3 linked regions of the Lepisosteus oculatus genome follow. The protein of the gene in region 3 interacts with the protein of the main gene of each other region in a biochemical or structural test. Links are inferred from orthologs where the notes say so. Each region holds a gene or a part of one and is shown on either strand. Other genes may lie near its edges.

What was found.
Region 1: the proteins of cdc27 (region 3) and anapc4 form a complex in vitro, tested with the Homo sapiens proteins (2 studies listed by BioGRID). The link is inferred for Lepisosteus oculatus from reciprocal best matches to the Homo sapiens genes CDC27 and ANAPC4.
Region 2: the proteins of cdc27 (region 3) and pttg1 form a complex in vitro, tested with the Homo sapiens proteins (3 studies listed by BioGRID). The link is inferred for Lepisosteus oculatus from reciprocal best matches to the Homo sapiens genes CDC27 and PTTG1.

The regions. Positions count from the first base shown.
Region 1 is NC_090696.1:77,823,892-77,834,172, forward strand, and holds the start of anapc4 (anaphase-promoting complex subunit 4), read left to right. Parts: upstream 1-6,325; 5' UTR 6,326-6,459; coding exon 6,460-6,460; exon of another isoform or gene 6,461-6,464; intron 6,465-7,430; coding exon 7,431-7,546; intron 7,547-8,203; coding exon 8,204-8,309; intron 8,310-8,820; coding exon 8,821-8,953; intron 8,954-9,272; coding exon 9,273-9,344; intron 9,345-9,617; coding exon 9,618-9,644; intron 9,645-9,724; coding exon 9,725-9,769; intron 9,770-10,281. Other genes in the region: putative divalent cation/proton antiporter TMEM165, read right to left, coding at 142-282; srd5a3 (polyprenal reductase), read right to left, coding at 2,319-2,578, 3,364-3,495, 3,935-4,126, 4,999-5,150, 5,653-5,852. UniProt on the Homo sapiens protein: Component of the anaphase promoting complex/cyclosome (APC/C), a cell cycle-regulated E3 ubiquitin ligase that controls progression through mitosis and the G1 phase of the cell cycle.
Region 2 is NC_090706.1:28,923,592-28,933,963, forward strand, and holds pttg1 (securin), read right to left. Parts: upstream 4,336-10,372; 5' UTR 4,229-4,335; intron 3,835-4,228; 5' UTR 3,833-3,834; coding exon 3,742-3,832; intron 3,065-3,741; coding exon 2,907-3,064; intron 2,082-2,906; coding exon 1,994-2,081; intron 1,785-1,993; coding exon 1,638-1,784; intron 1,166-1,637; coding exon 1,080-1,165; 3' UTR 833-1,079; downstream 1-832. Other genes in the region: pre-mRNA-splicing factor SLU7, read left to right, coding at 6,942-7,078, 7,772-7,925, 8,793-8,873, 9,078-9,242, 10,153-10,221. UniProt on the Homo sapiens protein: Regulatory protein, which plays a central role in chromosome stability, in the p53/TP53 pathway, and DNA repair. Probably acts by blocking the action of key proteins.
Region 3 is NC_090723.1:7,971,575-7,982,146, reverse strand, and holds the start of cdc27 (cell division cycle protein 27 homolog), read left to right. Parts: upstream 1-5,895; 5' UTR 5,896-6,054; coding exon 6,055-6,081; intron 6,082-8,288; coding exon 8,289-8,364; intron 8,365-8,873; coding exon 8,874-9,021; intron 9,022-9,724; coding exon 9,725-9,850; intron 9,851-10,572. UniProt on the Homo sapiens protein: Component of the anaphase promoting complex/cyclosome (APC/C), a cell cycle-regulated E3 ubiquitin ligase that controls progression through mitosis and the G1 phase of the cell cycle.

The sequences.
Region 1 (10,281 bases), on a different chromosome or scaffold from region 3:
GAAGCGGCACGTATCGCGCCCTCAAGCCGGAAACCCGGGTTTTCGGCCGCCAGATCGTGCTGAGGGGACGGGTACGTCAGGACACACCGGCCCCGGAGGGCCCGGCCGAGGGGGCTGGTGTCGCCGCGGCTCTTTCCCTACCTCTTGCGGGGCTTGCTCCTGCGCCGGCGGCTGCTCCTCCTGGATGCCCCTCACGCCGGCCGGCAGACAGAGCCCGGCCAGCAGCAGAGCGCAGAGCAGACGGGCTCCCTGCCTGCGGGCGCTACCGGGGAGCCGATACATCACTACCAACGGAGCGGGCGGCAGACAGACGCGTTACAACAATTACTATTTTAATTTAAAAAGGGGGGGAGTTAAACCAAACAACTTAAAACTTAAATTAAACTAAAAAAGGCATATTTAATTAGATGTAACTGACGCTACTTCCACATCTCTACTCCGAGCCGGAGCTGACGGCTGCTCGGGCTCTGCCAACCCTGCTATCTGCTGCAGTCCGACACATCGGCCGGCGGGGGCGGGCTCTGCGGGCCACGTTCACGACGCTTCCCGGGATCGGCCAATGACACGCCGCGGTAAGTGAGCGTCATCACAGGCGTCACGGGATCGGTCGTCATGTTAGGTAGAGAGGCGCAAAACCGGAAGGAAGAAGTACGAGAACTTCCTCCAAAGGGGGCCTTTGGCATTTTACAGGTACTACCTATAAATATACGTGTCTGTTGGTTATCTGCCATCCCCAGTGTTGATTGATGACTTTATGTGGTAGAGCTGCCTGTGAAGATTTTTAGTTATGTTGTTTCTGCCCTAATTCCTAACTTACAAATTCTTGCTTCGAGTGTACTGCTTCTAACAGCACACGTTTACCCTTATTACTGACTAACCCAGCTCCTACCCGGAGGCCACCGACACGGGTGAGCTTCACCTAGCACCAGGCACTCCCACAATCTGTTTCTCCATCTGCAGCTGTGCTACTACATATCAATCAGCTCAGGTTTAATTGGACCGGATAAATGCCTTCCACCAGTTCAAAGTTTATTTATCAAATGTACAACAATGCAGCGTGCAGCAGTAGTTGCTGGAAATGAAATGTCTTTTCTGCGAGCTCATCGGGGGGTAAAAAACACCAAATAAAAGTTACAAAATAGATAAAGTTACATAATGATAGATAATAGTGCAATAGAAATTGAATAAGAAACTCAGACAGAGCTCAATATAAATAGAGCTGCTTTTGAAATGGTCTCCTCCAGCCTTATGAAAAACAATGCAAATTAATTTTTCACTGATATCAAAACCCCTCATGGAGATAACAGGAATCAATTTCTTTAATCATTTGGCACACTTAAGTAGAATAAGAAACAAAACAACAAGCAGGAACTCATGGAACACAGATTTAATCTCAAGGTACTGGAAACACCTCCAGGAGAGTAATGGAATGTTTTATCTTTAAGGTCATCAGAACTAATCGGTAATCCACATAGTAAGAAAGCTGCTTGCTCCTGGTTATAGTCACAGCACCCCAGAAGCTAACCCCACTAGACATAGGGTGCAAATGAACATTTCTCCCTGGGCTAGACTCCATTCCATCAAAAGGACACAAGACAGGACGCACCCTGGACAGGACACCAGTCCATCACAGGGCACAAGGTAGGACACACCCTGGACAGGACACCAGTCCATCACAGGGCACAAGGTAGGACACACCCTGGACAGGACACCAGTCCATCACAGGGCACAAAGTAGGACACACCCTGGACAGGACATAAATCCATCACAGGGCACAAGGCAGGACCATACTCTGGTCAAGACACTAGTACATTTCAGGGAACAATAAGAGACATCAGATATCCTACCCAGCTTATCTTTGCAAGGGAGGAAACCAGAGCACTCAAGAGGCAGCAGCACTAACTGCCATGCCAACGTGCTGCCCTGAATCAAAACTTGAACATGTCATAGAAATACATACAGAGAGGTGGCTCTGTGGCTCAGGATTTGCGCCTGTGGCTGGAAGGTTGCCGGTTCGAATCCCGTGGCCGGTAGAGGAATCCTACTCTGTAGGGCCCCTGAGCAAGGCCCTTAACCCCAACTGTTCCAGGGGCGCTGTACAATGGCAGACCCTGCGCTCTGACCCCAGGCTCTCCCTATCTGTGTGCCTGTGTGTCTCATGGAGAGCAAGCTGGGGTCTGCGAAAAGACGAATTCCTAATGCAAGAAACTGTATAGGACTAATAAAGTTATGTTATGTTATACAAGATTTATTTACAATTTTGCACAAGCGGAATTACATTCTTTCCAAGCGGTACTTTCATACACTGCAGCTGAAATCTATAAGACCAAAGGAATGAAGGCTTTGCGGTGTTTTGGATAGGAGTCAAACTTGGCCAGATAGAACTGGTGGCACAGCACAGCCTCCAGCGCCTGGCAGCTGAGCACGTACAGGACCACCAGCCACCAGGTGGGGGCGCCGCCGCCGAGGGCCACGCAGTAGGAGACGTAGATGAGCAGCTCAGCGAAGTAGTGTGGGCAGGAGACGAGCCGGAACCAGTCGCCGTGAGGGACGCAGTGAGCCAGCGTGAGCACCTCCCCTGCCGCAGCCGGAGAGAGACAGCGCGTCGGGGTTAATGATCCGCATCGGGGGTGTGAGCACAAGGCCCAGCGCGACTGACGTCAGCAAGTTTAACAACCGCCTTAAAACTTGTAGGGGAAACTTACAGCAAAACAAACAATAGACATGAACGGAGCCAAACAGAAGTTCAGAACGTACGAGGTCACTGTATTATATTTTCACTCAGCAAAATGGATGATTATTGGACAGACGCTGTATGTACACCTACCACCAAAGTGTGTTTCTGTACGGTCAAGGATGAGGGCCCGGCCATCCATTCAGCCATTTTTTTTATAACCTCTTTCTCCAATACAGGGTGATGGGTGAGCCAGACCTTCCCCAGCAAGCAATGAGCACACCCCGGCCTAAAGAAGTGCCGGTCTAGGTGCTCCTGCATCAGACAAGCACCGTTCCATTGGTTTCAGATCTTCAGTTCCCCTTTTATGAACTGATTCAGGCGCTGGGCTCTAAGCCACATTTTCTTTTGGAGCAGGAAGTTGGGAAGCTTTAAGGCTGTGAAGAACAAATTGTTCATGGGATTGCGCCAGCTTTTCATATCTATCCTTGTCAAGCTAGGAAACGGGGAGTGTAGTCAAAACACTTGGACAACAATCTGAAAAAAAAAATGCGACTTGAAGAAGGATCAAGTGAGATTCTCGGCAGTGTGAATTACAAAGGTGCAGTTTGCCAAATAATTCCCCAGTCAAACCCGAGTGACCTGTCATGAGTGTAGCAACACCTGTGAGACCCCCGTGTAGCTCTCACCTGAGCGACCCTTCCTCAGGTTAGCGAGGATCACGTGACACCTGTGCTGGTGCACAGAGGCCCAGACAAACAAGCCCACCCCCGCAAAGTGGTTCCACCGCACCTGTGCCAGCACTCCACCTTTAACACTACCTGCCAAAACAATAAACAGCTGTTTTTAAATGCCAGAACTTTTTTCTCTTGAAATGTATAACTCTACCATGCTTTTATTTACAACTGGAAAGTTAACAAAGTATACTGCAAAGTATGCATTATGTCAGATTTTGCTTTGTTTCCTTTTTGATACTTGTGTCCTGATGATAGGTAACGAAATATTATTCCATCCTAGGTTGGTATTAGAAAATCCATGTTATTCTCTGACATTGGAGAAACAATCATTCACTGTTGCCTGCATTCAACATGACTGAGGAAAACCATGCAGACCAGTAAAATACACTGCACTTGTGAGGAAGAGGTGTTGTACACAAGGCACAACAGAAACACACAGCTGTAGGAGTTAAATACATATTAAAGACATTCAAAATCAGCAGTAACAGTATTTAATAATTACATGTTCTCAGGCCAGACTGACCTTCGTGTTCAGTGTGAATGTTGGTACAAAGCACTGTTAATCCAAGTAAAATGTAGTAACCAAGCCCAAATCCATACTGCGCTAAGTGTATGACTCCATTGGAGAACACACTGACAAACAAACACTCCAGGAGCCTTCGGAGGGAGTGAGCACACAAGAGCACCTGCACCAGGAGGAGAGAGAACTGCTCACCTGTGAATGGAGAACAAACAGGTGCACTGTAACAAAGCATTGAGATGTTTAACGAGGTTAAATATGAGCCTTTGGCTTCAATCGGACAAACATCCATAAAAATCGCCCAGCAGACAGAAATAAGGTGTTCTCTCTGGAGTGGCTACTGTTACCCTGAGCTCTCCAGGCCTCATAATTTACCCTGTCTGCATGCAGTTGTAATCTACCTTGTGAGAAAATAAAGTGCTAAAAACTAATAAGCTTGTTCTGGCACAGCTAGGTGAACAGCAAATCAATGCAATGGACGTCAGCGCATCACGATTTCCAACTAACTGGTAGAGAGATGGACAGATCCTCACACACTGGGGGTTCCCACCCTGGATCTGGGGAACCTACCCCTGCTAGTTGTCCTTTTAGTTGAGCAGTCAGTCACATAGCCAGATTCCTAAAGGGCCTAATAACAGGCGTGCTGTGAACATTTTAACTGTAGTTCCTCAACATGTTGGTGGCTGCCTTTAAACTGTCGCATTTCTTCTGATATAAATATGAAATAAAGCTGATCGTAATTAACAGCATAATAATTATTATTGCTGTTGGTATTATAAATGTTTGGCATTATTTAATAAGTCCAACATTTGCATTACAAAAGCTCAAATTGAAGTAATTGTTGGCTTCTAATTTAAGTAAAGAGCTGGGCTGGGATATGTTAGTGTTGATCCTTCAATGTTCTTTAGGTTAAGTATCCAGTGCAAGGCTACTTGATCATTTAGCAGAGAACCACCTGCCACTGCCCTTGACGATTCAGGAAACGTGTGTTCTTGTCTTGTGTTACACCTCCCAGCAGAGCAGCAGTGGCCTCATTCCTGCTTTTGATACAGCATGTGGGAACTTACCTGTCCCAGGTGTGGCTGTACCTCCATTGAGGAAACTCAGGGTGCTCTCTAACCAGCCTGGAAACTGCTTACCCAGCAGGGTCTTTTGTAAGCAAATAGTGAGTAATAAGGAATTCCAAATCACAGACACAGCGTAAAAATGGAAAAACCATCTGCAAAACACCCCCCAAACAACAATATTAACAATCTGACACGGTAAATAATAGTAATAATATATACAACAGTTAATATGCAGAATTATAAAGACTGTGTCATTGTCTTAAAGATGGAAACCAAGATAGTCCTGTTCGTATCACACGTGTTCGAGTTACAATACAGTGCAGTTACTTGGTGACTAATACACGCGTTGTATGAAGTAATAAGTTACATACAGCATGCCATTTATTATCCTCGAGAAAATGTAATAAAATATTATTTTCAGAACATCGTGTTTTCCATAAGGCAATTCTAACGTCAATCTAAATTTAATATCAACATAATCCGGCCGTTTCTAATCAGCTTCTGTTTTGAACGCACAGTTGAAACTTTACACACGATGTCTTTTCATTCATCATATGAACATCTTTCTCTAAGGGGGGAACAGCAGTCCACAGCTCTGATTAAAGTTTAATATGATTTATAATTTAAGCCCCGGCAGGGTAAGATGTCTCTGACCTTTTAGGAACATCAAAGTATCGCAGTAGGTCTGACCGCTGTAGGGTGGTCTTGGTTTTTCCGTACCGAATAAAATCCTGGAATAAAACATAAACCCAGGAGCCACCGTATTTATCAGACGAGTGAGCACAAACGTGAATACAAAAAGCAAAGAAAAAACAGAGAGACAGAAGTAACCATATACAATCAATAGGATTCATCCTAAACCACTGAAACCAAAGTTTCTTAGTGTCCGCGGGGGAAACAATTCCGACGTGCAATGCGTGTCTGTGCAGTAGGGGTTCCGCACCGCAAGGGTAAATACTTTTCAACACTTCTATAGCCCTCTGCTGGAGTCTCCACTCAAAGCGCTTCACGGGTAATGGGGATCCCCTCCACCACCACCGGTGTGCAGCCCCACCTGGATGATACGCCAGCAGCCAGGGTGCACCAGTACTCTCCTCACACACCAGCTCTCAGTGGGGAGAGCAGAGTGATGGAGCCAGTGCAGAGATGGGGATAATTAGGAGGCAAGGCCCAGGGATACAACCCCTACTTCTAATGGTATTTGTTTAAATCGGTCCCGTTAAACAATAATAATAAATCTCCAAAGTTCTGCCTGCCGGCTGAATAAGGCGTTTTGTCCCTTCTCGCTTGCCGTCCGCCCTGCGCTGGTGGCGATTGGTCGAGTACTGCTCGCTGGCCCCGCCTCCACTTGGTTGCAAATGGCGCCGCGCATGAACAGGCGCCGGAGGAGGATGTAGTGGGTTTGCCTGTTTCTTGGGAACTGGGCAAACGAGCTTTGTGCTTTGCTCGGGTAAAGAGAGAAGTAGGTATGTGCTGATGTTGTGTTCTATTTTGGAGGAGTTTGTCAAGTTTACTAGCAACCGCAGACTGCAATGCGTGTGCAGTGTTTTCCACAATCTCCAGTGTGCACTGCGAAGAGCGAGGTCATTTTGTGTTAAAATGAAAGCGGAAAAAAATAAAAATCCCAAATCGTATTTATTCTGAGAGATCATCATGCAGTGTTTCAGAAATGTATCGCTGTTAAATGTATCTCTCTTTTTTTTTTGTTCTAAAATTCAAGTGCTCACTACTTACAAGTCTTCTCAGGTTGGAAAATCGATGCCATAGCTGTATTTGAAGACTTACAAATACTGGAACTCCTCTGTCTAGACTAGAAATTCAGACTCATACCCCAGTATAGTGACATGGGAAACTGCTGCAGGAGGTGCTAGTCTTTGGATTAATCATAACTACCCAGTCGTTAAAGATCCCGTGACAATGTGAGAGTAGTCATGTTAACCCTGGTGCCCTAAATAAATTCCACTCCAGTCTTGAAAATTCCATGTTCCCTCAATTCCCCTTTTGATGTGATTGGTGCCGCGGTTTCTCACTCCTCCACCTGTGTGCTCCCTCGAACATGTGAAGCCCTTCAGGATGGGGAGCGCTGTGGGAGTGCAGGGAGTGACACAATAACATTATTGCTATTAAATACTTCTCAAGCTGTGGGAGCTGAGCTCTTTAACCTGCTCACAGGCCCCTGGGAGAAGCGTCTGTGTGTGTTTGTGTGACGGAATGGCGTCCCGTCCCGTGCCCATTACTGGTGGGAGCGTCTCCGGCTCCCCTGTGGCCCTGAATTGGGAGAAACGGTTGGGAAATTGATGGAAGCCGAGTCCAGTGGTCTCCTCCACTGTAAGCACACAGGAAGTGCTTCCTGCTTGTCGCTGTTTCCTGGTCCTCCTGGAAGCCCTTCTCATGTGCTGATCTTTTTCCCGGTTTGTCTGTTTTTTTGTCAGTGCCGAAGATGCCTGCGTTCCGACAAGTGGGGGAGAAGCAGCTGCCGAATGCCGTCCTTTTCATGGTCTGGTCCCCGAAGAGGGACCTGATCGCCCTCGCCAACCGAGCGGGCGAGGTAACAGCCCCAGGGCTTCGGGGCAGCTGGCCGCAGCCGGAGGGGCGCCGGTTACACGCCTGGCAGTCCTTGTGCTGAACTGGCGGATCAGAAGCTGATGCTCCGTGTCTCATGCATGCCTGTGCTGAGAATAAATTCGCTGTTCTGAGTGGCGGGTTTTCCCCGAGCGCGGCTGTCTGTCTGTCCACTGGCCCTGGAGAACATTTCTGTGTTTGAAAGTTAAATCGCCCCCAATGAATTAAAAAAAAAATAACACTCCTAAGAATAGTTCACGGCTCAAAAAAACAGCAGATTTCTGCTTTTGAGATGGTCACCCAGTAAATCGTCTGATCGTCTGTGGCTTTGTCTGCCCTCTGACTGGCATCGAAGCCTCCCTTTGTGTGCGTCTTGCGTCACGGCTGGGGAAGAAGCCTGTCTCTGTCTACTGCGATAGAGGCAGTCCTGCAGCAGACTGTAACTGTTGGGTTGCTGGTTGTAAATGAAGCTGTGTGTAAATTAAGATTTGAGGGTACAGGACAGAAAACAACAACTGGGGAATTCTAATCTCATAAAAGATGACGCGAGGAGTGTAGCTCTCGCTACGTGTATCAGCGACATTTACAAACCTCATTAATTTGTCTTAATTGGTTTCAATGTATTTTTTAATTTATTTTTAAGCTCCTATTACACCGCCTGGCGAACTTTCAGCGGGTGTGGAGTTTACCTCCCAATGAAAACACCGGCAAGAAAATCACGTCGCTCGCATGGAGACCGGATGGCAAAAGTAAGGGCAGGGAGACTTTTTAACAGGAGGGGGTCTGCTGCAGTGTCTGAAGAGCCCCAGCACAGCCTGGAGCCCCAGTTACTTTCTCCTGGGGACTTTATGCCATCTAGATAACATCTACAGCATCTAAGAAAAGTATATTTTACATTATTTGTCATCAAGAAATCGACATGACTTGGATTTCTTTTATTCCCTTTGCCCGTGCACTTCTTCATCAGTTGAGATGAAATTATAGCTTCTGTTGAGGGCATCTGTGTGATATGCATCCAGAAGGGTGGTTGATTATTCAAATTTGCAAAAAGAGCTCTAAAAATGTAGAAAACGATATTGCAATCGGGAGTGTGAAATAGCTAAAATGCAAGAACGTGATTGTGAAATAGACTAATCCAAAACCTGTTGTGCACTTTAATACTAGGAATAATCGCCTGTACTCAGAAGGATGTGGAGTACTTTAAGTGTGGCCTATCTCTTGTAATGCAGTTCATGTTCTCTGTTTTTTTTCCTTCGTTAGTTTTGGCTTTCAGTGTTGGGGATACTAAACAGGTGATTCTTTGCGATGTGGAAAAAGCAGAAATTCTGCACTCTTTCCCTGTGGAGCAGCCAGTGTCGTGTATGCACTGGATGGATGTTTCGGAGGACAACAGGTGTGTTTCCGTTATTGTCACAGGTGGAAAAAAAAATCTGAATTAGAAGAAATGGTCACTATGCGAATTTGCCTAGTCCACACCATTATTTTTTACATCAGATGCGGGCTAGACAGTGCTCACATTAAAAGATTCCTTCATGCTATTAGGCTGGTGTGCAGGTTACCCAGCTGCTTTCTTGCATTGGTAGTGACAAGTAACGTAACTTTTGTGAACATGGAGGTGGAGGTGACCCACGAACGGCCAAAAAGTTTAAATTGAAATGTACGAGCACCTGCTTTGTGGATATGGTAGAATAGCAGATCGCTTTTTATTGCAGTGTTTTCTCATCGTTTTATAATGAAGATGAATCGGATCTTTTCCTGCCAAAGTTACCAGCTCTTCCAGAGAGGTAAGGATCTCTATTTTCTGAGTGCTTTATTCTGATACTTTTAATCAGTTTCTGTATTTGACCTATGTGTTAAATGTCACTTTTTAAATTGCCGTATCAACTGAAGTTATTTAATATCACCTTTGCAACGTTATTAAAAGTTAGGTTTTGCCACAAATGTTGTGTTTTCAAAACATTAGTGCATAATTTCAGTAATTGTTAATCTTGATAAGTGCTATAAAAGCGTAAGGAATTATTATTAATTAATTGATTTTCGAATATTTTTATTTACAGCTACAGCACCACGTCAAAAATATTCAGGTAGTTTCGCAAACACTTTCTTTTGATTTTCATACATAAATATTATTGCACAATTAACTAATTTATTGTCTGGCTTCCAGCGAAGACAAATCTGATGAGATTATGAATCTTCTGGGTGAAGTAAGGTGAGTTTTTAACAGTTTTTATAGCTATGCATAAGCAGTAGGGTGCAAAAAAACATCATTGAAATTGTTCATGTGAAGCATAAAAATACAAACCTCTGTTGGAACCAGTAGAATTTGTTGATTTTTTTTTCCATGACACTTATTATAGTATGTTCTCATTAAATACAGAGGAACAGGTAAAGGTTTATTCCACGCTGAAAAGAAACAATGTTTCGTCAGTGGAGGCTTCTCCGGGTGTTCTTCTGTTCTACTTTCAGGTGTTCTTCACACCTGAAGAAGACTCCACAGCCGAAACGTTGTTTTTTTTCAGTGTTGTGATTCTATCCTTCTCTTCTCAGCAGGAATAAACCTTTACTTGGTCCTTTGCAGCCTGCGCATGCTGACGCAGCTGCCTACTTGAGCTACCTCATTAAATGCGGTTGTGAACCTTTTCCGTTGTGATGTGGAGAACATTTGTTCTGTGACCAGCTGCTGTACGTTGCTGACCTGGGACAATACGGCTGCTGAGGTCA
Region 2 (10,372 bases), on a different chromosome or scaffold from region 3:
GAATAATTTTCCTGCCATCCTAGAATGATATGGACTGTCCACTGCTTCACACTTTTGTACCCTTGTGGGATTGGAAAGTTTCTTTAGCATTCATCTCAGGCCCTGCATGCTGCTTTACACTAAACTACAACAAGCTGGTACAATTTGTGCCAAAAACTTTTGCTAAACGGCAGGGCTTCTACAGCTGGCATCTTCTAAGAGGCATTCCACTCTGCTTTTTTCCTGTGTAAGGTTTTTGAATGTAGTGGTTTTCCCATTTTCTGGAATTTGTAAATGAAAACTGTAATATGTCAGATTAATCTGCAAGATAAAGCATTTAGAAGGACAAATTGCTCCTTAGATGAGATCTTTAGGTGCAGAACTGGTAATGTCAACTGCCAGGGCTGTCCCTTTGGTACAATGGCTTGTACCAAGCCTCTTTCATGGACCAGTTCTTTCCAGGAGCTGCAAAAGCAGAGTTGCCAGTTATATTAACTCTTTCTGGACTGAACCAAATCACTTAATATAGTGCTTTCCAGTTTGTTTTTGGTTTATGCTTAAGCCTCTTTGAGCATAGTGGAAACAAATTCCTCGTGGTCCATACCAACAGGCATTCTTACTTTAAGGGGCAATAGCTAAACATTACCAGTTTTGTTTAAATGTGTTCAATATTTTATTTATAAAGCCTGTCTTCTGTACATAAACTTGTATATCTAAATTATGAAGACTTTTGTTTGTACAGAGATCTCCAAACCAAAATGGAACAAAGTGACTTTAGTACTACAATAAAAGCAGAGACCATGGAGCTGTGTGCATTGTTATCATGGGCAGAAACAAGGAAGAGAAACCAAACTCAGAATAATAATTTATTAGAAACTACAACAAATACTAAAAATGAACAATGCCTGTTTAACAGGTGGGCATCACAACTTCGGCCAACTGGGTGGTGTTAAGTGCCACAGCATCCAGAAAACAGATGAAGGATCTCAGTCTTCCTTGATCTCACTTAACAGTGGTTGACAGTTTAATGTAGTTTAACTATTAAGCAGCTTACATGAAAAACTCATTACCAATGCTTAAAAACAAACAAAAACAAAGCTTCAGTCTTCAAACTCCATTGGAGGCAGATCCACAGTCAGCTCACTCACCGTCTGCAAGAATGAGTCCAGTTCCGCAGACCAGTCCTCTGCAATACAGATATCACTCCTAGTCTTAGCCCATTCACAAGAGATTAAGACTGGAGTAGCAAAGTCAAAACATTAAGAACCTTTCTGGTAAAGGTCACTGAATTACCAAGCAGTGCACAATAAGGTTTATCACTTCCAGTTATTACAGCTTGACTACAGTTTAAAGAGGTCAGGTCATTGACCATAGGTCACTCACTAGATCAGCACCTGCAGCAAAGCCAGTTGCATATCTAGTCTTGTGAACTGGAGTCTTAATTGTGCAGGAGGCAAAACACTTAAACAGGTGGATTACACCTGCTCATGGGCTGACAGCATGCAATCTGGTCAACAGCCAGCCCTGTTCACCATTTTAAATCAAACGGGGTTTGCTCACTTCAAAACCTACGGCACTGGTTTCTGCAAGAGGGTGGCAGATTCCCCACTCTACAAAACACCACCCCTACCCCCCCCCCCCCCCCCCCACACACACACCTTTTGGTAAGGTCAGAGGCGACAGCTGCATACAGACATCCAACAAGTGAAAGTCATCCTCCTCTTCCACAGTGGGCGGCACTGCCAGCCCTGCCAGGCACAGGTGGCTCAGGCGCTGCTCCTCGGGCACATCGAAGCTCTCAAACTCTGATGGGAGACCAGGACCATCAGCCCCAGAGAGCGAGTAGGCAGGAACCCAAGCAACAACAGTCATGTACAGGTACTTAAACAGATGGAACAGACTTACCGAGTTCAGGAACAGGTGTTCAACTAGGGGGGTTCAGGAAGAAGCTATCTGGCACATATCCCTTCATAGCCCCCCCCCCCCTCTCAAAACACACAGGAAGGGGACCTACCCAGTGGGTTATAGGGAATCATCTTCTCCACCTCGGGGTACTCCTCTTTCTTCACCTGTCGGGGGCAGGCCTTCACCTCTTCTTTCAGCTGGGGGGCCAGGCAAACGGCTTGATTAATTCAACTGAAACCCAAACACCAGCCAGAGGCTTCGACCCATGTGAAGCATCAGTAGGATTCCTAATGCAGGTGACCAGTGCTTTCCACAGGATACGAGTCCTTAGCAGGCTGGGCCATGCCATCAAAGGCAGTGCTGGGTTTGAGCGGCAACCGGAGTCTTCATTAAAGGGGAACTGCAACACTTTTTATATTTTGGGGCTAGAAAGAATCCGCATGGAGAAGTGTATTTCAAACTGCAACAGTAAAATGTACACAGTAACTGCGATTCAAACGAGGCAACAACTCCTGGTGAGGTGAAGCCACCCTTTTACATTGTAAACAAACAGGCTTGTGAATACATCTCTTTTAATCCAATAGAAATATTGCTCTTGGCTTCAAGATAGTTTTGCCAACCCTGCATGCAAAACACATTAGAACATTTCTGAGGTGAAATGTTTGCAGCTCAACTTGAACATTACAGTACGTGTCTCGTTGCAGTTAATAGTGAGCAGGACCCAGTCACAGCACCAAATTTTATACACAACCTTTAAAATTTATGAAGTGGTCAATTAGGGAGGTAATTTGTCAAGTCACATAGACTGGAGCTCTTAAGATCTTTTCTAAAGAGCTTTCAGTCCTTAAGGACTATGGTTCCTTTAATTGATCAGTAGCCATCTGATCCAGAACCTAGGCTGAAGAGTCCAAGACTTGTTTAAGATATCAGGCACAAGAGCAGTGTCAGGTTTGTCGATGGACTCCAGGTTAGAGCAGGAGTGAAGTATCCTACTGGCACTGCAAGCTGCCTGGTAAGTGTACCTTAGTCGAACCCACACGTGGCTCCTTCTTCCGGACAAGAAGGGGCAGGGAGGGAACTGAGCCAAGCGCATTGACTGTCTTCCGAGCCGAGAGCATGGGGGCGCCGGTCAGGAGCTTCCCAGTGTGAGGCGTCTTCAGGCATCTGTCAGCGAGCAGATCTGCCAACAGAGAAGCTAGTATGCCACAGACTTCATGATAATCCCTTACACTAATATAGCACTTCTCTGGACACTACTCAAGACGCTTTACAGGTAATAGGGATCCCCTCCACCACCACCACCAGTGTGCAGCCCCACCTGGATGATGCTCCAGTACCCTCCCTACACACCAGCTCTGAGTGGGGAGGAGAACAGAGTGATTAAACCAGCTCAGATATGGGGATTATAAGGGGGCCATGATTGGTCAAGGCCAATGGGACATTTGGCCAGGATACCTCATATTGAATTGGTTAAAGGGATCTCATCCAGCCACTTCTCCAAATAAGCCAAGACATGGATGCAGTAAATGAGACATTACAGCAATCTAGGCTTTATGAAAGAGATGCACTTCAAAAGATACAGCCATGGAGTGGGTTTATTAACAAAGAATTAATTTCAGCACCACTGTTAGTCATTTCGTTTTACAAAGGACACATTGGCAATGGTCCTGTATTCATCCCAGCACTATTCAGCAGGTAACGATACCTCCGCTGATGTGGCTCGGAAAAGAATATCGCCGTAGCGACGCTCTGAAACCAAGTACCCTTCTTCTAATTAGTTACCCTCGTAGTCTATCAATCGAAATCGATGCGCAATGAATAACACGGGAGGGCCCGACAGCGGAGCGGGGGTCTCACCTGGAGCAGACTGTAGCCTCACCCGGTTCTTCGCGGGAGCGGGCGTCGAGAGGGAGCCGTTTTCCTTGTCGGTATAAATCGCCAGGGACATCTCTGAAGAAAAGAAAAAAAAACGAATCTGTAGTGCACAACAACAAGACGAGTATTAACAGGTAGGACACTTAAAACAAGCGATTCCAAAAGAACGTCCCACGTGGGGTAATGGATAAAAAAAAAACTAATCTTATGTAGTTCAAGAATGTAGCTGCGTACGTCACCATGCGTACGCGGCAAAGGAACAAGTTAAATGTTTATTCCACGCTTAACAGGGAAGAAAGGAAACTCGACGTTTCGGCTGTGGACTATATCTATAAAACTATACCTTTGCTACTACCCGCCTCATAAGGACGTATTGCAGCTTTATTTTTTGCTCCAATACTGCAAAAACGTTTCGATTTCATTACAGAGAACATTTTTAAACCCCCCTCCTCCCCACTGCGTTACTTACCAGCGTACTAAATTCAAAGCTTCACCACACAAGCGCCACTCTCCGTGGGCTCTCGTTTTAAACAATAATCCGCGCTCCCATTGGCTCTCCGGGGAGCACGAGGATGCAGCTGTTTCGAGGAAGTGACGACTGTCCGCACCGCCCCCTTGCGGACCGGGTGTGTAACGCGACCGACTGAGGCTGTTTTCATATCGCCGCTTTTTTATTGCTTTCACACAACTTGCTCGGTGCAAGCCAGCGCCTCCGCTTGTCATCTTAGTGAAACCTGACGGAGGGGTAGACGCCCGGGCTATTGGCTCCAGTGCAGTTCATCATCGCCCAGCCGACTGTTCTCCTACCGGTGTAATTCCTGGTGCGACACACTGCTTTATCACTTTTATCGACTGGCGCAGGAAATAATTTCTTAAATCACCGTGTAAATCAGGACCCGCTTGAATAGCGGAATGGTCCTCAGATCCATTAACAGCTGGGTTGCGGACAGTATAAAAATCACTCCATTTATTTTTAAAATTCTAAATCACTGGGCAGTAATTATGAACCTGTAATAACAACGAAGTGGTGAAAAGAGCAGATTAGAAAGATGTAAACATTCAAGAACTATGGTATAACTTTAATTGAGTCAAACGAGCAGTTAAGACGGGAGTATACGGCTCTTTCCAGACAGCGAAACCGGGGGACCGGGAGCCCTTACTGACGCAACAGTTTGGTAACCGTCGGATGAGCGGTTTTAAACAGCCGGCGGATCTCACTCGGGTTTCATCTCTTAAAGTTAAAATCAACGCAAGGAGGCCAGTGGGCATTCTGATAGCACACCGATGGTGGCGAAGCCGCCGGAAACAGTATTAAAGTTACCAATAAAGTTGCGGGTATTACTAACATTATCACTACGGTTTAGTTTAAATCCTCCAGCACTATAGGTGCTTCATTTGCAGATTTTGCCACTAAGACATTAAAAATAGAATAAGTCAAATACAGATTTTCACGATAAGTGTAGGAGTATTTATAGAATTTAATTAAAAAATTTAAAAATGTATATTTTTGTGTTACTGCTGAACAAACTTTAAAGCACCACCACGCAGACGCCCCCCTTTGAATGACGTCAGCGCGCAGGGTATCCTGGGAATATGGCGGCGTTGTGCGGTGGACTGTAAATACGACACTAGGAGACGATAAACTGACCTCAAAATATATTGTCAGTCGAGTTCGGTAAGACATATTTCTACTTATTATGTATCTTACACGTCATGTTTTACGCGGATTTCGCGTCATAACGTCATGTGTTTCATTTGAATGCGCTTCCCCAGGTCGTTTACGCACAACGGTTGTGTAGCTGTAGACGGAAGGCCAGTTTGTTATGGATGAACGCTTGTGAATTTAATGTAAATCTATGGCATTTGGAAGTACGTCGTTTGTTTTGCAGTATTCGAAGATAACTTTCCTGTAACTGTTAAATTCCAGTATCGCTACAGAACACGTGTTTCCCCCTGTTAGCCGGGGAAGTAGCTGGTTTCAAACCTCGGAGCTTCTCCAGTTTCTGCCCAGAAGACGGAGAGGAGGCTGGTTTATGAACAGTCTGTTTCTGTATTTGTCTTTCTCGGCCTCTTGTTCATCTCCCAAGTCCCCTCCCTTTCTCTTCGAATACTGCAAAGGAAATTATCATCTCTCTCGCTCTGCGACTTCGTTCACGGGACTCAGTAGGTCAAATTGGGGAACTGGTTATCTGACATTTGCTATATTTCTACATGGCTGTGTTTTGTTACAGCTGGTAAAAGCTCCACAGCCGAAACGTTGTCTCTTTTTACCAGGAATAAACCTGTACCCGTTCCTTTGCAGTCTACGTATGCTGACACTGCTACCTACTTGAACTTCTGTATATTTTGTATACTAACGATTGTAAAAGCAAACGCACAAATACATATCTCATCGATAAAGTCCTGGTTGGGTTATTAGGGGACTCAGAAAACCATTATGGACCCGTTCTAAATGACTGTACTAAATGGTGTAACGAGTTTGCACTTAAATGTTGTCAAAACGAAAGGAGCTGGTCATTGATTTTCAGAATAATGCAACATCTCTCCAACCTACAGTAATTAATGGTCAGACTGCAGGAATCGTCACTGACTAACAAGTACTGGGGGTGGTCATAGACAAGAACCTGAGTTGGGACAAATGCTGTGAAACCGTTTATAAAAAGTACAACAAAGACGTTTGCTAAGAAAAACTAAGAAATTTCTAGATAGATAGGACCATCCTAACAATTTCTACAAGTCTTTTATTAAAAGTGTCTTGGCATACTATCTCACTTGCTAGTGTTGAAATGAGTACCATTGATTGTAATAGTTTTCCCAGCCTAGTCCAAATAAATAGCAAATTAATTGGAGGAAATCAGCTCACCTCACATATCCTCTACAAGCAAAGCGTGCAAAGAAATGCTTTGTAATGCAAAGAAAGCAAAGTGTATTATGGATTGTGTCCCCAGTTGTAATACTCATAGACACAGGAAATCTTTCAACCCCACTGAAATATCTAATATCGTAACTGTCTTGCCGTAACAACCACCACTTCTTGGTTGGTAAAATTTTGTCTGTCCTTGTGTTATGTTGGAGTGTGGGGTAAAACTAATTTCCCCAGTGGGACTTGAAAGGTTGAATTGAATTGAATAATCCAGTCTCTCCCACCCTCCTCCTGCAGGTGGCGCTGAAACAGAAGAGCCATGTCAGCAGGGACTGAGGGGGTGGTGGGGCTGGAGGAGCCCAAGAAGATGACCAGGGAGGACTGGAGGAAGAAGAAGGAGCTAGAGGAGCAGAGGAAGCTGGGAAATGCCCCAGCCGAGGTGGACGAAGAGGGGAAGTACGTCACGCAGGCCAAAACCTTACAAACTGTCAAATAAAGGGTGGAAATTTGGAGCCGAAATCCAAAAGCATTGATGTGCTGCTGGGCATCCTTTGGGGAAAGCCAAGCGACAGGAGAACAAGAGTTTTTTTTGAGGGGGTGCCGCAAGATGCATGCTGTAGGATTTTGTGTGTAAGCTAAGGGCTCTTTATATCCGCAGCTCAAGAAGAGCTGGGAGATGCTGTGAAATTAGTCTAGTTAAACCAGATGGTTCCTGGCTTAGCTCTTAAACACTAAATTAGAATGACAACCTACAACACACCAGCCCTCCAGGACCAGATTGGCTGGCTGTAAACCTGTTTAACTTTAAATATGAATTCATTACATATGCCCCTGCTGATACTAACCTACAAAATACCGATGAGGGGTTTTGTGCAGAGGATAGTCAGTGGAAGTTCGTGACTTCCATTGCTTAGATATGTTGCCTTTTCCTTCTTGATACCAGTTCTAGTAACTTTCCAGGTGTTTTTTTTTTAGAACAAAGATCTTCACATCTCCAGCCCATGGCTTTGGTATCCTCTGCCATCTTTGTGAAATTTTTATACTTAGCATATATGTGATCAAGACACGGCTCTTGAGCATCGCGTCGCACCATTACAGGTTTGCAACGTTGGTCTAAATGAAATTGCTGACCTTTCATTCTTTTTCTAGGGACATCAACCCGCACATTCCTCAGTACATCTCCTCCGTGCCTTGGTACATCGACCCCTCCAAGAGGCCGACCCTCAGGCACCAGAGGCCACAGGAGGAGAAGCAGCCGCAGTACACGGCCATCGGGGACTGGTACAAGCGGGGCGTGCAGGAGGTGAGTGCTCAGCGCGGCGCTGGGGTGCTGCTCTGTAGGTAGCCCATCCCCTCAAATCACACGAGCCTTCTTTCCCGTAGGTATTTGCCCCAGGCGAGAATGTGATTCACTGTTTTCTGAAAAGTCACATTAAAAAAATAATAATAATAATAAACGTTATTTTATGTAGCGCCTTTAAAGGTGGTTTCTCAAAGCGCTTTACAGGATGACAACAACAATAAATAAGAAGAATACACAAGATGAAACACAATTACAATATATAGAGGAGACCGTGGATGGTGGTACTAAGAAAAGCAGAGGGGTGAAGAATGCAACCAGTTCAGTAAAGGCTTTTCTGAAGAAGAGGGTTTTGAGCCTGGATTTGAAGGAGTTCAGAGAAGGTGACTCTCTGATATCCTTGGGGAGACAGTTCCAGAGCCTTGGGGCATAACAGGAGAAGGCCCTGCCACCCCTAGAGTGTAGACGGGCTTGGGGGACAGTTAGGAGAGCAGAATTAGAAGAGCGAAGGTTGCGAGGTGGGGAGTAGGGCGATAATAGTTCAGACAGCTACTGAGGTGCCAAGCCTTATAAAAATGAAGGGGGGCAGAACTATCACATTTAAGGGAGTGGCAAAAGAGAGAATTTCTGGGGAATGATAAATGTAGTGTTTATAACTGATGTCTTAGGCATTAGGCAAAGAAAAGTACAGAATTGGGACGCTTGGCTTGTTAAGCTGAAACAAAATGGTCTATTAGAACATTTTACTGCTCAAGCACTACTTGTCTTGTAATCTTCAGTCAGGCCATTTATTATCATAAGACTGAAAAATGTTTTTGCTGTGTGAGGGATGGTATACAGCATTTGTGAGTGTTTTTTCTTTTGGCGTAGAAACCTGTTACCACGAAGTATCGGAAAGGGGCATGCGAGAACTGTGGGGCGATGACGCACAAGAAGAAGGATTGCTTGGAGGTAAGTGGGAACCAATATTCCATGGTCCTGGTCGGGGGGAAAGATAGTTGGCTGTTTCGTTTTCTTTCGCCTTCTGTTTCTCCTTCCTGAGCCTTCCCGAGCTGGCCTCCGTCGCCGGGTGGCTAGTCAGAGCGAGGCAGAAGAAAATGGCCGCGCCGCTGTCCAAACGATCAAACGGGTTGTCTTTGCGCCCCGTCTCCCCAGCGGCCCAGGAAGGTGGGAGCCAAGTTCACGGGCACCGACATCGCGCAGGATGAGCACAGCCAGGTGCAGCTGTCCCTGGACTACGACGGGAAGCGGGACCGCTGGAACGGGTACGACCCTGAGGAGCACATGCGCATCGTGGAGGAGTACTCCAAGGTGGATCTGGTGAGTACACTTCTGACACTGTGTAAACATGGATCTAACTCTTTATACGGCTGTACCTCTGTCTGACACCATGTAAACATGGATCTAACTCTCTATACTGCTGTACCTCTGTCTGACACCATGTAAACATGGATCTAACTCTTTATACCGCTATACCTCTGACACATGGTACACATGGATCTAACTCTCTATACCTCTGTCTGTCACCGTGTGAACATGGATCTAACTCTCTATACCTCTTTACTTCTCTGTCACAGTGTGTATCTTTAAAAATATGTACAACGCCTCTACACCTCTGCCTGACACCACGTGCATCTGTAAAAATATGTACACCCCTCTACGCCTCAGTCTGATGCTGTGAGCATTTTTAAATATATACATATTTTAATTATGCTCCCGGTTATCCGGTGCTTTTTTGAAAACATGAGTATACCAATTAGGCATTTTGTGCTAAGGATAATTTCACAGTCAGTTTCTGATTTTTGTTGCCTAATTATGTTTTATTTTCCTTTTTAATTCCAGTTGTAATAAGCTTCATAAGGGTTTTCCAGAACAAAGACTTGCAAATCGCCAGACTTGTGTGTCTGTTCTGTGTACGTTAACAGATAGACGGTTTCACACTTGTAGCCCCGGGGACTCAAGAAAGCGATGCCTACTGCATAGCAGTTTTGAGCATTTTAGTGATTTCCAAGTTGCAAGTTTCAAGCTGATGTCTTATCAGCGGGGTTAATTAACGAGGGAACAGTTGGCAGCCAAATTGAGGAGCATGTCAATAAAATAATAGCTGCAATGTCTTTGTTGCTACCCTCCTGTGAATTGCCTGGCTGTGCAGATGTTTAGTGTCTAAAAGTGGTTCTCCTGTTGGTTGCTTTCAGCTGACTTGGATTTTTTTATTCCATTATTCGCATAGGCTAAACGCACTCTGAAAGCACAGAAGCTACAGGAAGAGCTGGCTTCGGGGAAACTTGTGGATCAAGCGGTATGTTTGTTCACTTTCATTTTAAGAAGCTCCTGAAAAAAGCTGGGAAACCTGCTTAAGGCGTTAGAGTTAAATTGAGTACAACAGATGAATGCCATTGTTTCTGCCCTGCATGTTGCCCTTACTGTTAATTGAATGGTGTGCGTGTGAT
Region 3 (10,572 bases):
GGCTTCGCACAGGGGTGGGATTGTCAGATTCTCATTCTCACACACCCACATCAAACCACTCGGCCACCTTTCTGCCTTTTCAGGTGTGGGATCCAGTTTTTTTTTTAGGTGTGTGATCTAGCTGTTTTCAGGTGTGTAATCCATCTTTTTTTCGGGCGTGTGATCCAGCTGTTGTCAGATGTGTGATCTGGCTGTTGTCAGGTGTCAGATTGATCCAGCTGGTGTCAGGTGTGAGATACTATTAAATAATGTCATACCTACAATCGTCGGACCACAAATAGTCACACCAACCTCACTGCTAACAACCTTAATCCTTTTATTCCATCAGTAGCCATCACAATGTGCTACAGGAGGTAATCAGTGTCTCCCATCAGACTCTGATTCCTTCCAGTATTTAAGACCCACATTTCCACGCTCCTGTGCTTGGTCTTAGTCTTCATAGTCTTCTTGCCTGCTCACCGTGTTCCTGGATCACCCTTGTCCTGTGCCTCTCCTGCCTCAGACCTCTTTACTCTTCCTGTGTGTATAGCAGTACTACAAACAGACCATCAGTCACCGTATCCCTGTAGCAGCTCCCTGGTTTACTGAGGAGTCAGTGCTGTGCTCACGTCTTGATTGCCACGTTCTGTCAATCTTCTCAGGATACACACTGGCCAAATTATTAAATACCCTGTCCAAATTATTATTACGATCCTGTCATGAGCAGCACCGTCATGTCCTATTTCTCTGGCAGAAATGCCTACACCAGCGGTTGTCATGAGGGTAATGGTGTGACACTGAGAATATTTTCATTTGCCTGGAGGTGCCTAATACTTGCTAATGAGTGAACCTATGAATTCCCCTTTATTTTTTAAAAATTGTGCAATGCACAGCATTGTCAATTTTAAAATGCATAATTATCCATCCATTGACTTGTTTGATCAATTTACTTGGCTGCCATTCTGATCAAAGTTGACTTATACAGTACATTTATGCGGTCAGGTTTGTTGGAGAAATCTGGAAAAGGACCTTGTTTCACTGCGTAGCCAGGATTTGAACTCCAGGCATAAATCCAAGACTCTAACCACAACTCCACATTCCCAAGCACATGCTAAACCACAACACTGAAGTGGGTAGATCTGGAAACTCACATCCAGCTCTTGTCTTAATTTCCCATACTTTTTTTTTCTTTTTACAATTGCTTAGACATCTACAAATTACAGCCTATTGAGATCACAGAAATGAGTCATGAATAAATCCACCAACTACACCTACCTACCTACACCTATATATTTCAACTAGGGTGAACAAATCAAAACTGCAATTAAAACTGTTTTCTCAATAGGGCTGCACTGATTCTGTCAATCTACTAAATGTATTTGTTTATTCTTAAAATGACTATCGAAGGTCGAGACCCAATGTCTCTGAATCCATCTCTTGCTCAGATCAATCCACAATCAGAGGAAAGAAAATGTGATTTTTTAATGACCTCCCGATACCTAGGAGAAAGCAAAAGCATTCAGTATAAAAGATAATAATATTGATTCCTGTAATAAAGAATCAATCCCTTGTACCTGTTCCCTTGGAATAGCTACAGCACCTGCTGTAAGGTTCTGGGTACCATGAGGACACTTTGGAACAGCAGAAGATAGATAATCCACCTGCATTAATACCTGTCAGTGCAGAGGAAGCTCTGGAGTACAGCAACACCCTCTGCAACAAATTAACTACACTTCAGCAATCCACTAATCTCTTATCCCTGATTTATTTTTTAGAACTCCTTTTTTTTTTCTTTTGCCTTGAGGATCCGAGTCCGCACAGGGATTAGATCCAAGCTTTTTCCGAATCCGCCCTGGCGCGATGAAGTCAGACTAAGTATGACCTCTGTCTCGAATGTGAATGGAAGAAATGGAGGGTAGAAATTCAGACTGGGTGCGTCTAGGGCAAACAGTGCCATTGGGGTCTCTAACAAAATACCCAGGAAATGTGCTTTTCTTACAAAAACTATTTGTGTTTTTAAAATTATTAATTGCACCCCCACTCACGTTCTGAATCATGCTTCATGCTTCATGCTGATTCATGCTTTACAACAATCAAGGTGAAGGGAGAAACCTTAGAAACGACTAAACACAAATGACTACAGTAAATTTAAGGGAATCAAAAGCTGATGTATGAAAGTAAATTTTAAGTCATGGGCTTAGGGATCATTCCCACAGCCTTGGAGAAAAACAGTACAGGAAACATGATCTCCCCATTATCTCAGGGTCACCCAGGGTTAGGATCCAGTTTTGGGGAACTAAAAGTAAAACCAAAGAGCAAAGAAAAGTGACGTTGTGTAGGGGGCTAACGGTTCACTGATTTACTTAGGAGACAAACCGCTCAAGCCCTTAAAGACAGCAAGATTTTGAAGTTTATCGTAAAGTTCACAGGATGGCAGTGCAAGAAAACTACAACAGGGGAGATCCATGAATTTAAACTGAGTTACAAGCAGCTGGTTTGAACATGCTGTAGCATACTAGTTGTGTGACTGTGTAAATCTAGGTACTTAATTTTCCTTTAGGAGAGTTTTGGACAGAGTCAGGAAAACTAGAAGGGTAACATATTGTATTAGTGGTGTTGTGGCTCCACCTGGTGGCTTTATACACTTAAAACTTCAGGCTCTATTGAAGCTTTTGACAACATCTTAGCCATCCGATTTCTGTTTTATCCATTACAAGGTCACAGGGGATGTCAAAGCCTAGCCCAGCAAACAACAGGCACAAACACCCAACAGGACCCCATCCCATCAGAGGGTACACACAGGCATAAATACACAGCCACACCAGGGCAAAATTATCTACCAGCGAGTCCAAGTTCAAGTTCAAGTTCATGTTTATTCAATTCAATTTATTTTTAGATAGCGCCTTTCATGACAAGGTTGCCCTAAGGCACTTAACAATGCAATTGACAATACATTTTGTCAATACAGAACAGAAGACCAGAAGACAATGGAGGAGAGGAACCAAAAACTCCTTATTAAGGAGAAAAAATACCTCTAGGGGTCCAAGGTCAACTGGTTGCCCAACCTTTTTGGGCATGCTAACATCATACAATTAAAAAAAGGAAATTATGAGGGTATTAATCTATCCATCCATCATGTCTTCTGTGTGTTAGTACTCCATGCAGATCTCTGTAGACCAGTAAATTCCTTCTAAACTTTAGCTATATCTACGATGTCCCTCTTGGATCCAAGTTTATTGTCATTATACTCATATACAGGTATATGGTATAATGAAATGCTATTTAGCTAGCTCTCAGATGGTAAGCAGTACAAAAAAAACAACAATACAATTGTATAAGAAAAGAAAAACAGAGACAACAGGCAATGTGCAAAACGACAACAGGTAATGTCCTTAGAAACACAAGGAGAACATACAAACTCCACACAGATGGATTGGCCCAGGGCCTCAGTGCTGTGAGGTTACCATGTTAACTGCTGTGCCATCGTGTCGCCCGGAACAAACCCGGTGGCATTTGTCACAGAAATCCTATTGTTCATGAGCATTGTCCGCAGTGATCTAAACTTTGGATTTGAGAGGAGTGTGGCTGGAAAGTGATACAGTTAAATCAGAGGTGAGCACTAGAATTTGATCGAGGCTGGGATCCAGGTTCCATGCTTCTGCATAAGAAAGGTTACAAACTTGTGCAGTCTTTTCTTGAAAGAATCCAGGGTATTGGCTTCAACATCCTGGCTGGGTAGCTTTGTCCATACTCCCACCACCCTTTGGGTAAAGAGGTACCTCCTGTTCTTGGATTTAAACGCTCTTCCACTTGCTCTCTCTGGTTCATGTTTCACTGTTCATGTGGAAGACATTCACTGAGTTGACAGTGGCAATACCATTAAGGATTCTGAATAGTTAAACTAAGCACTAATATTAATACATACATTAGATCTGAAGTGCCCTTTATTCTGACATAAACCCCTCTGCTCCGGTACCTACAGTAGTTGCTTTTTTCTGGACTGACGTTAGAGCAGCAGTATCTTTTCTATAATGTGGTGACCACAATTGTGCACTATATTCTAGTAAGAGACCTTAGTAGTACAGTAAACATTTTGAACATAACTTCCACTCATTTGAATTCCACTTACAGTATGTCAACATAATCACGTAGGTCTTTTTCTCATAAGTAGCTTCTTCTAGCTCAGTGTGTCCCATTTTTATTCCAGATGTGCTTTACTTTATTCCTAATGGTACTTCTGCTGTTGTAGAATGACAAGAACCCTTTTTTTTATTTCTTTTAGCCTCCATTGTAATATGTTTTAAATTTTCATTTTTTAATAACTTTATCACCTGTGCATGTAAACCAATTGTCTTTGTTTCTGTTGTTTTAAATGTGTTGTAATATGCTTTATTTTTCCCCCCAAAATAAAAATAGCTATTTCTTAACTGTTTTCTGAACCCTTCCGGATGCTGTTTTTTTAGTTTTTGTTTGAGTCACTCTTGTGATAAATTTGTTCTTTGCTTCAGACTGTTTAAACTCTAACCATCCCTTTTCAAATGACCTCATACCTATCCTGTCCTATTTTATTTCTCTTCCCCTGCATCTCATTCCTTCAAAAGCCTGCTGTCCAGAAATTGGACACTTTTGCTCCATACTCAACCTGTACAGATTCAAAATATCCATCAGCACCATATTATGGCCAAAAGCTCATAAAGGTTCTCCCATCTTTGTTGTCCTCATTCTCCTGACTACTTGAAAAGACAAGATCTGCTCAAGCAGTTCCACCTATAAGCACTCTGATAACCTGTCTTGCCATCAGTGATGAACTACTGTTTGTCTTCCATTTCAGCCTGTTCCTGACATACCTAACCGCCCTTTGTTCCCATTGTGACCTACAGTTACCAATAAAAATAATTTCTTATGTGGCATATACATTTTTAATTTCATTATACGGTGTTGAGTAAAAATCTACATCTGCAATTGGTGGTGGTGTCTAACACACTGCTAACACCACACCTATAGATTCAAAGAAGTAATTCCTCTACCCTTAATTCCCCAACCTGAATATTCTTTTTGATACGCTGTAGTCCCTTTCTGGTTCTTTGACCTCATTTCTGTGTCTCGACTTGCATTGCTTTTGTTTTGTTCCTGCCAAGTTTTAAGCAGAGCCTCAGCGTTTTGACGAGTACCTTTTTTCTTTCCGATCTTCCCAGAAGAGAATCCGCTTATGCCCCATTCCTCTCCATCAGTTTCAGTAACATCATAACTCCCTGCTAATGTGCCAGCTTCCATCCTATTTCATTTGTTTCCCAGCTTTTAGGTATAAGAGCCTAATTACAGAATCGTTTGTTTTTTTTCCTTTGGTCTTTGTTCCCCATGTAAAGTTTAAGTGTCGGGCTTTTAGTGGGTTATTGAGCCAAGACGACCACCATCTATCCCACTCAGATGCAATCTGTCGTGTCTCAACTGGTGGCCTTTGATGTGGAAAAGGTTTTTAGAGATCCAGAAAGCTAAAAAGTTTATTCTGCACGCTGTGGCTTCATCCAGTCGATCCCAGATGGGACTCAAACCCACAATCCCTGGGTTAGGGCGGGACAGTAGCTTATCCATTAGGCCACTGGGGCTCATTAAAATGTGCTTTAAAAACATGTTGATTAAACTGGACAGAGTATAGGGCAGTTTTACTTTGAAAGAGGCATGTATTGGAGAGAAGTCCATACAGAAGGTCCCAAACCCTAATTTTTCATAATGAAGACAGGAAGAGAGAGAAAGTAATTGAGAACGAAAGCAGCCAGCCATTATCACTGCGCGCTGTAATTAATTGTGAATGGAAGTGTTATTTCACACTCCTAGCTTGCGCTTGCGTTTCGGGTTGTTGGCGAAGCTATCGGCAATTTCCGTCACAGTCCGTCGTTGTTCGTGCCTGTTCCGCATTAATCGGCAATCTCCGGCGGGTCTCGGTTTGGTCGCTAACGGTCGATGTGTTTAAATCCTCGGAGCTCCTTCGGGCCCTGAAACTGAGCAAAAGGCGAAAGAGGGGTTGCGGAACGGGGGAAGCGAGTTAAAGGCAGAGAGAAGGAGCTTGATCGCGTAATGACGGTGCTACAAGAACCTGTGCAGGTAACGGAGGAAAATAAAGAAACGCGGCGCAGCTACTTGGTTAAAATGAGAGCGGCCTGTGGTGGGAACGCGCCCACCCGAGTCCGGCTCTCGCCAGCCGGTAGGGAGCTCTACTCCGAGCCCGAGGCCTGAAAACAAATAGTGGAGGCCTCGCGTACTCTCCTTTTGGGAAGCTAAAAAAGACGCGATTGAAAAGCTTTACAAAGCCAAAAACGATGCGTTTGTTTGATTCAGAATTCCGGTTTATCAGAATTATAACAAGATTTTCGGGTGATGTGCGATTCTTTTATAAACGCTTTGTTGCAGTTTATTGCTCTTGAAATTGTATTAGTCTTAAAGTCCTAATTATTCGCCGGTGTGGCATCTTGCCCTATGGGGGAAAGAGGTGTTTACTGTAGTATTTTGTTTTCTAAAATACGGCAGGTAGTTCTGTAGCATTTTGCGACCTTACACAGGTAACTTGGCTGATGTGCTAGTGGTTAATAAATTGTGATGGGTCATTAACAGTTTGATCAGATGGCGAATTCATTCAAATTGGGGCACTGTGGAGTAACCAGACATTGTGAGGGTCGTTTTTGAGGTTTTGTTCTGCTTTGGAAAGACTTTGGTTCAACTACTGAAGTTTGCGATTGTGAGATGTGGAACATTGTAACGTAGATGCCTTTGAAGTCGAACACCTGCATCTTTGTTTCCTCTGGCTTCAGTGCATTGCTTTAGCGACTGATTGTAGAATTTGAGTGAATATTGATCGGTAGGCTTTTTTTAGGTCTTTTTAAATAAAAATAAAACCGGAAAATTGTTACTTGGTGTTAGCGAATGCTGTTTATCTCGGAGTGTGTGGACAAATAAACCTAGGTACATAAAATGACACAACAGCTTTCGAAGTTTTTGACTGCTGTTTTTTAACAATTTTTTGCTCCTGAAAAGGTATTTTTTCGCATTTAATAAACACCTGAAGGGTGATGCGCGGTGATCCTGTAAGGTGAAATGTTGCATGTGAAGAGCAATACGTTGAACGTGTCTGCAGTGCAAACGTCTTCATGAACAGTCGTTTATAATCAAATTCGGTTTATTGCTTTGTGGTCTAATGTCGCAGAACTGTGGGTTTAGTATATCAAAGGGACTTTCTGCCTATCCAGGTATTGTTTTTCATCTGAAGATATGCCCCAATCCCGCCCCTTCGTAGTAAGTGAGGCTGTTGGGGTTAGGGGTTATAACTGGGAATAACTGTGCTCTTTTTCTCTTAATAGCACCAGTAATGCTCGTGCTTGTAGAATATGTACAGGTGTTTGGAGAAGTGTTTTACCTGCTGAACTGAGGTAACTGTTGGGTGACATGGAAAGTAATGGACATAACTAGACTGGTGTATGATCACTGACACAAGTACATAGCCACCTATATTTGAAAGAGAATGTGGTTATGATAGCTTGTACTATATATAACGCAGGGAGTAATATGATTGGGGACTGCGTGAAGTGTCATTTCTGTGACTATAATGCCCATGAATAGCACTTTTGGGTTACACTTGAACTTCAGCTGTTAAAACATAACACGGCCAATCTATCTTGTGTGGCGTATAATGGAGAACTAATGTGAGAGTGTTATCCACTCTGTTTCCTGAGGGAAGTAAAGAGTATCAGCTTCAGCTGTTGTATCTGAGTTCCAGACTCCCACAAACCTTTGCATAAAGAAGTTATTGCTGCTTTTGATCTTAAATGCACTGGTCATTATATTATTCTAAGTAATGTTTTCTTTTTCACAAAATGTGTCAAGTTTCTTTGAGATAAAAAATGCCGCTAACAGGACAATAACGTTCTTTTTAAACTGCCTTACTTTAATTACACTGCCATTTGGGTTGTATCCAGTTAATCTCTTGGCCATTTACTGAACTTAACCTATGTTTAGTCCGCTTGGTTATATACGAGCAGCAGTTAGTAATTATGACTTTTGGTTTTATTGAGAAACATTTTGTAAATATTTCTTAATATGCAATCTTATTAGTAGTATTCCTGATACAACAATATGTGAATGGGTTTTTAAAAGTTTGATCTTGTTACCCAATTCAAAAAAGATTTTTAGTTTGCTAAATCTTCCCTGTTTCAAAATGTGTAAATTAACTAAACACGTTTCAGATCTTGATGATATTTGTGCTGCAGATAAGGACCTCTGCTGCCAAGATGGTACTGAATTTTTCATTTCATTCCTAGGCAGCTGTTTGGCATGCACTAAACCAGTATGCCTACCGAGATGCTGTCTTTCTGGCAGAGAGACTCTATGCTGAAGGTAATGAAATAGATGTGAGGAGATCACCCAGCTGTTCGGAACTTTTTCTTGGTTGTAATAAATCAATAATGTCTCAGAAGTGATGGAGTCAGACTGGGAAATAAAATTATTAGGGACTCATGTATCCTGAATAAAGGTGGTGTAGTTGTACATCTTTAATCATGGCCCCCAAATTATTGTGAAGTGAGCTATATTTTAAGATGCCTGATTTTTAGAAATAAAATAACAGTAGAATTCTTTGTGCTGATCTGTTTTGCTGACTTCTATGTTTTTAACAATTACGCCTAGACATTTTGTGGTCTTGAAATCCTGTTTTACATTTTAATACTCTTTTCTGTATAAATGTATAGTCTTTAACAAGAATCCTTTTTTTAGCTATTTGGGGTGGTTTGCGGGGGGGGATAAAGTATAACGAAATGTTTGGTTGCCAGTTTTGTTTTGTTTTTATGCTTTCGAAATCTAAGCTCTTCATTAGGGCTGAAGCTTGTTTTTTTTATGTGCTTGGACAGTGCATTCTGAAGAGGCTCTCTTCTTATTGGCCACATGTTACTACCGGTCTGGCAAGGCCTACAAGGCTTATCGCCTTCTTAAAGGGCATAGCTGCACTACCCCGCAGTGCAAATACCTTCTCGCAAAGTGCTGTGTGGACCTGAGCAGGTAAGGCCGGCGGTTCTGAGCTATCTGTTGGGTTTTTGTAAGTCCAAATTCTCATTAACGCTAAAAGTATTGTATAGAATAACATACTTTTTTTAAGCAGGCACAGATCAGAGTAGTTTGCAATGTAAAAGTATTTTAGTTACCCCATCCAGTATACCGGGATGAGCAAAGTACTTATTTAAGCTTACAGCAACTTGCAGCCTATCCAATAACATGGTAATAATAAAAATGTTCTTACATTTATATAAGTGCCTTTTTGGACACTCAAAGAGCTTTAAAGATAATAGGGGCTCGCCTCCACCACCGCCAGTGTGCAGCAGCCACCTCAATATATGTTGCACCTTTGCAACACAGGGTGCAAGGCAGGGCTACACCCTGGACTGGGACTTCATCCTGTCACAGAATGCATGGGAGCAATTAGGAGACCTAGTTATCTTACATTGCAATGCGTGAGAAAATGGGATGAACTGGAATATACCCAGGTGGAGAACACGCAGACTACTCCCACAGACAATCCCTGTCTGAAACTGAGTTTTAATTTAAACAGCTGGGAGACAGTGGCACTAACTGCCATGTCACTGTAACCCCTCGTTTCTTCTGCCTTGAGCATTTACAGTCTTCGTCCTGATTGTTTGGTGTTTCTTCCTTTGGCTTTACATTTTCCTCTTTTTTTTTCTTTCCAAAAAAATCTTTTTGAACTTAGACTTGCAGAGGGGGAACAAATATTAACTGGGGGAGTCCTGAATAAACAGAAGAGCCATGATGATATTGTCACAGAGTTTGGAGATTCTGCTTGCTTTACCCTCTCTTTACTGGGACAGATTTACTGGTAAAGGACTTTGGACGCTTATTCTTTCTGCATTTGTTTGAAAGTTTCTTTTTTTTTAAAGGTTAAAAAAATGTACATTACTTGCGCATTTGTTGTGAAATTCGGGAGAAGTAATATTAATCTCTTCATGGCACCAGTTTCTAATGCTGCATCTGGAGAGTCCAGTACAGCAGGATACTCTTAAGTCCTTAATTTTGAAATGCATGGAATGATTTTATGATGACCAATTAAGAAGGTGATCTTTTTTTACAATTTTAAATATCATCTGGGAGTAAAATATCAATATCGTTCAGAACTCTGACTTCTTAAGAGCTGGAGTTCTTTTCATTGAACAGACTGCTTAATTGATCAATAACTTACAGGAGTTCCCAGTTTTTAGAAAGGGGTGACCTACAAGACCCCAAGAGTTGGAGCTGCTCTGCTTTGCACCAATTCAAGATGTATTTATTTATTTTCCATTCTTAATTTGTTTACAACCTGAAAATCCTATGGAGAATCCAGCTGTTTGTCTCAGTTAGGGCTCAGAATTAATGCCTTTTAATTGCAGCTTCATAGAGTCTTGTCTGTTTTTCGAAGCATATAAATCTGTTTGATTGTGAACTGTACAAGCTGCTGCCTCATAATCTGAGCAGAACAAATAGGTATTGCATCTGCATTGCAGGAATACAGCTAAGATCTATGACAACAAAATAAGTGGAAAAGCAATACGCAAGTCCAGGAAA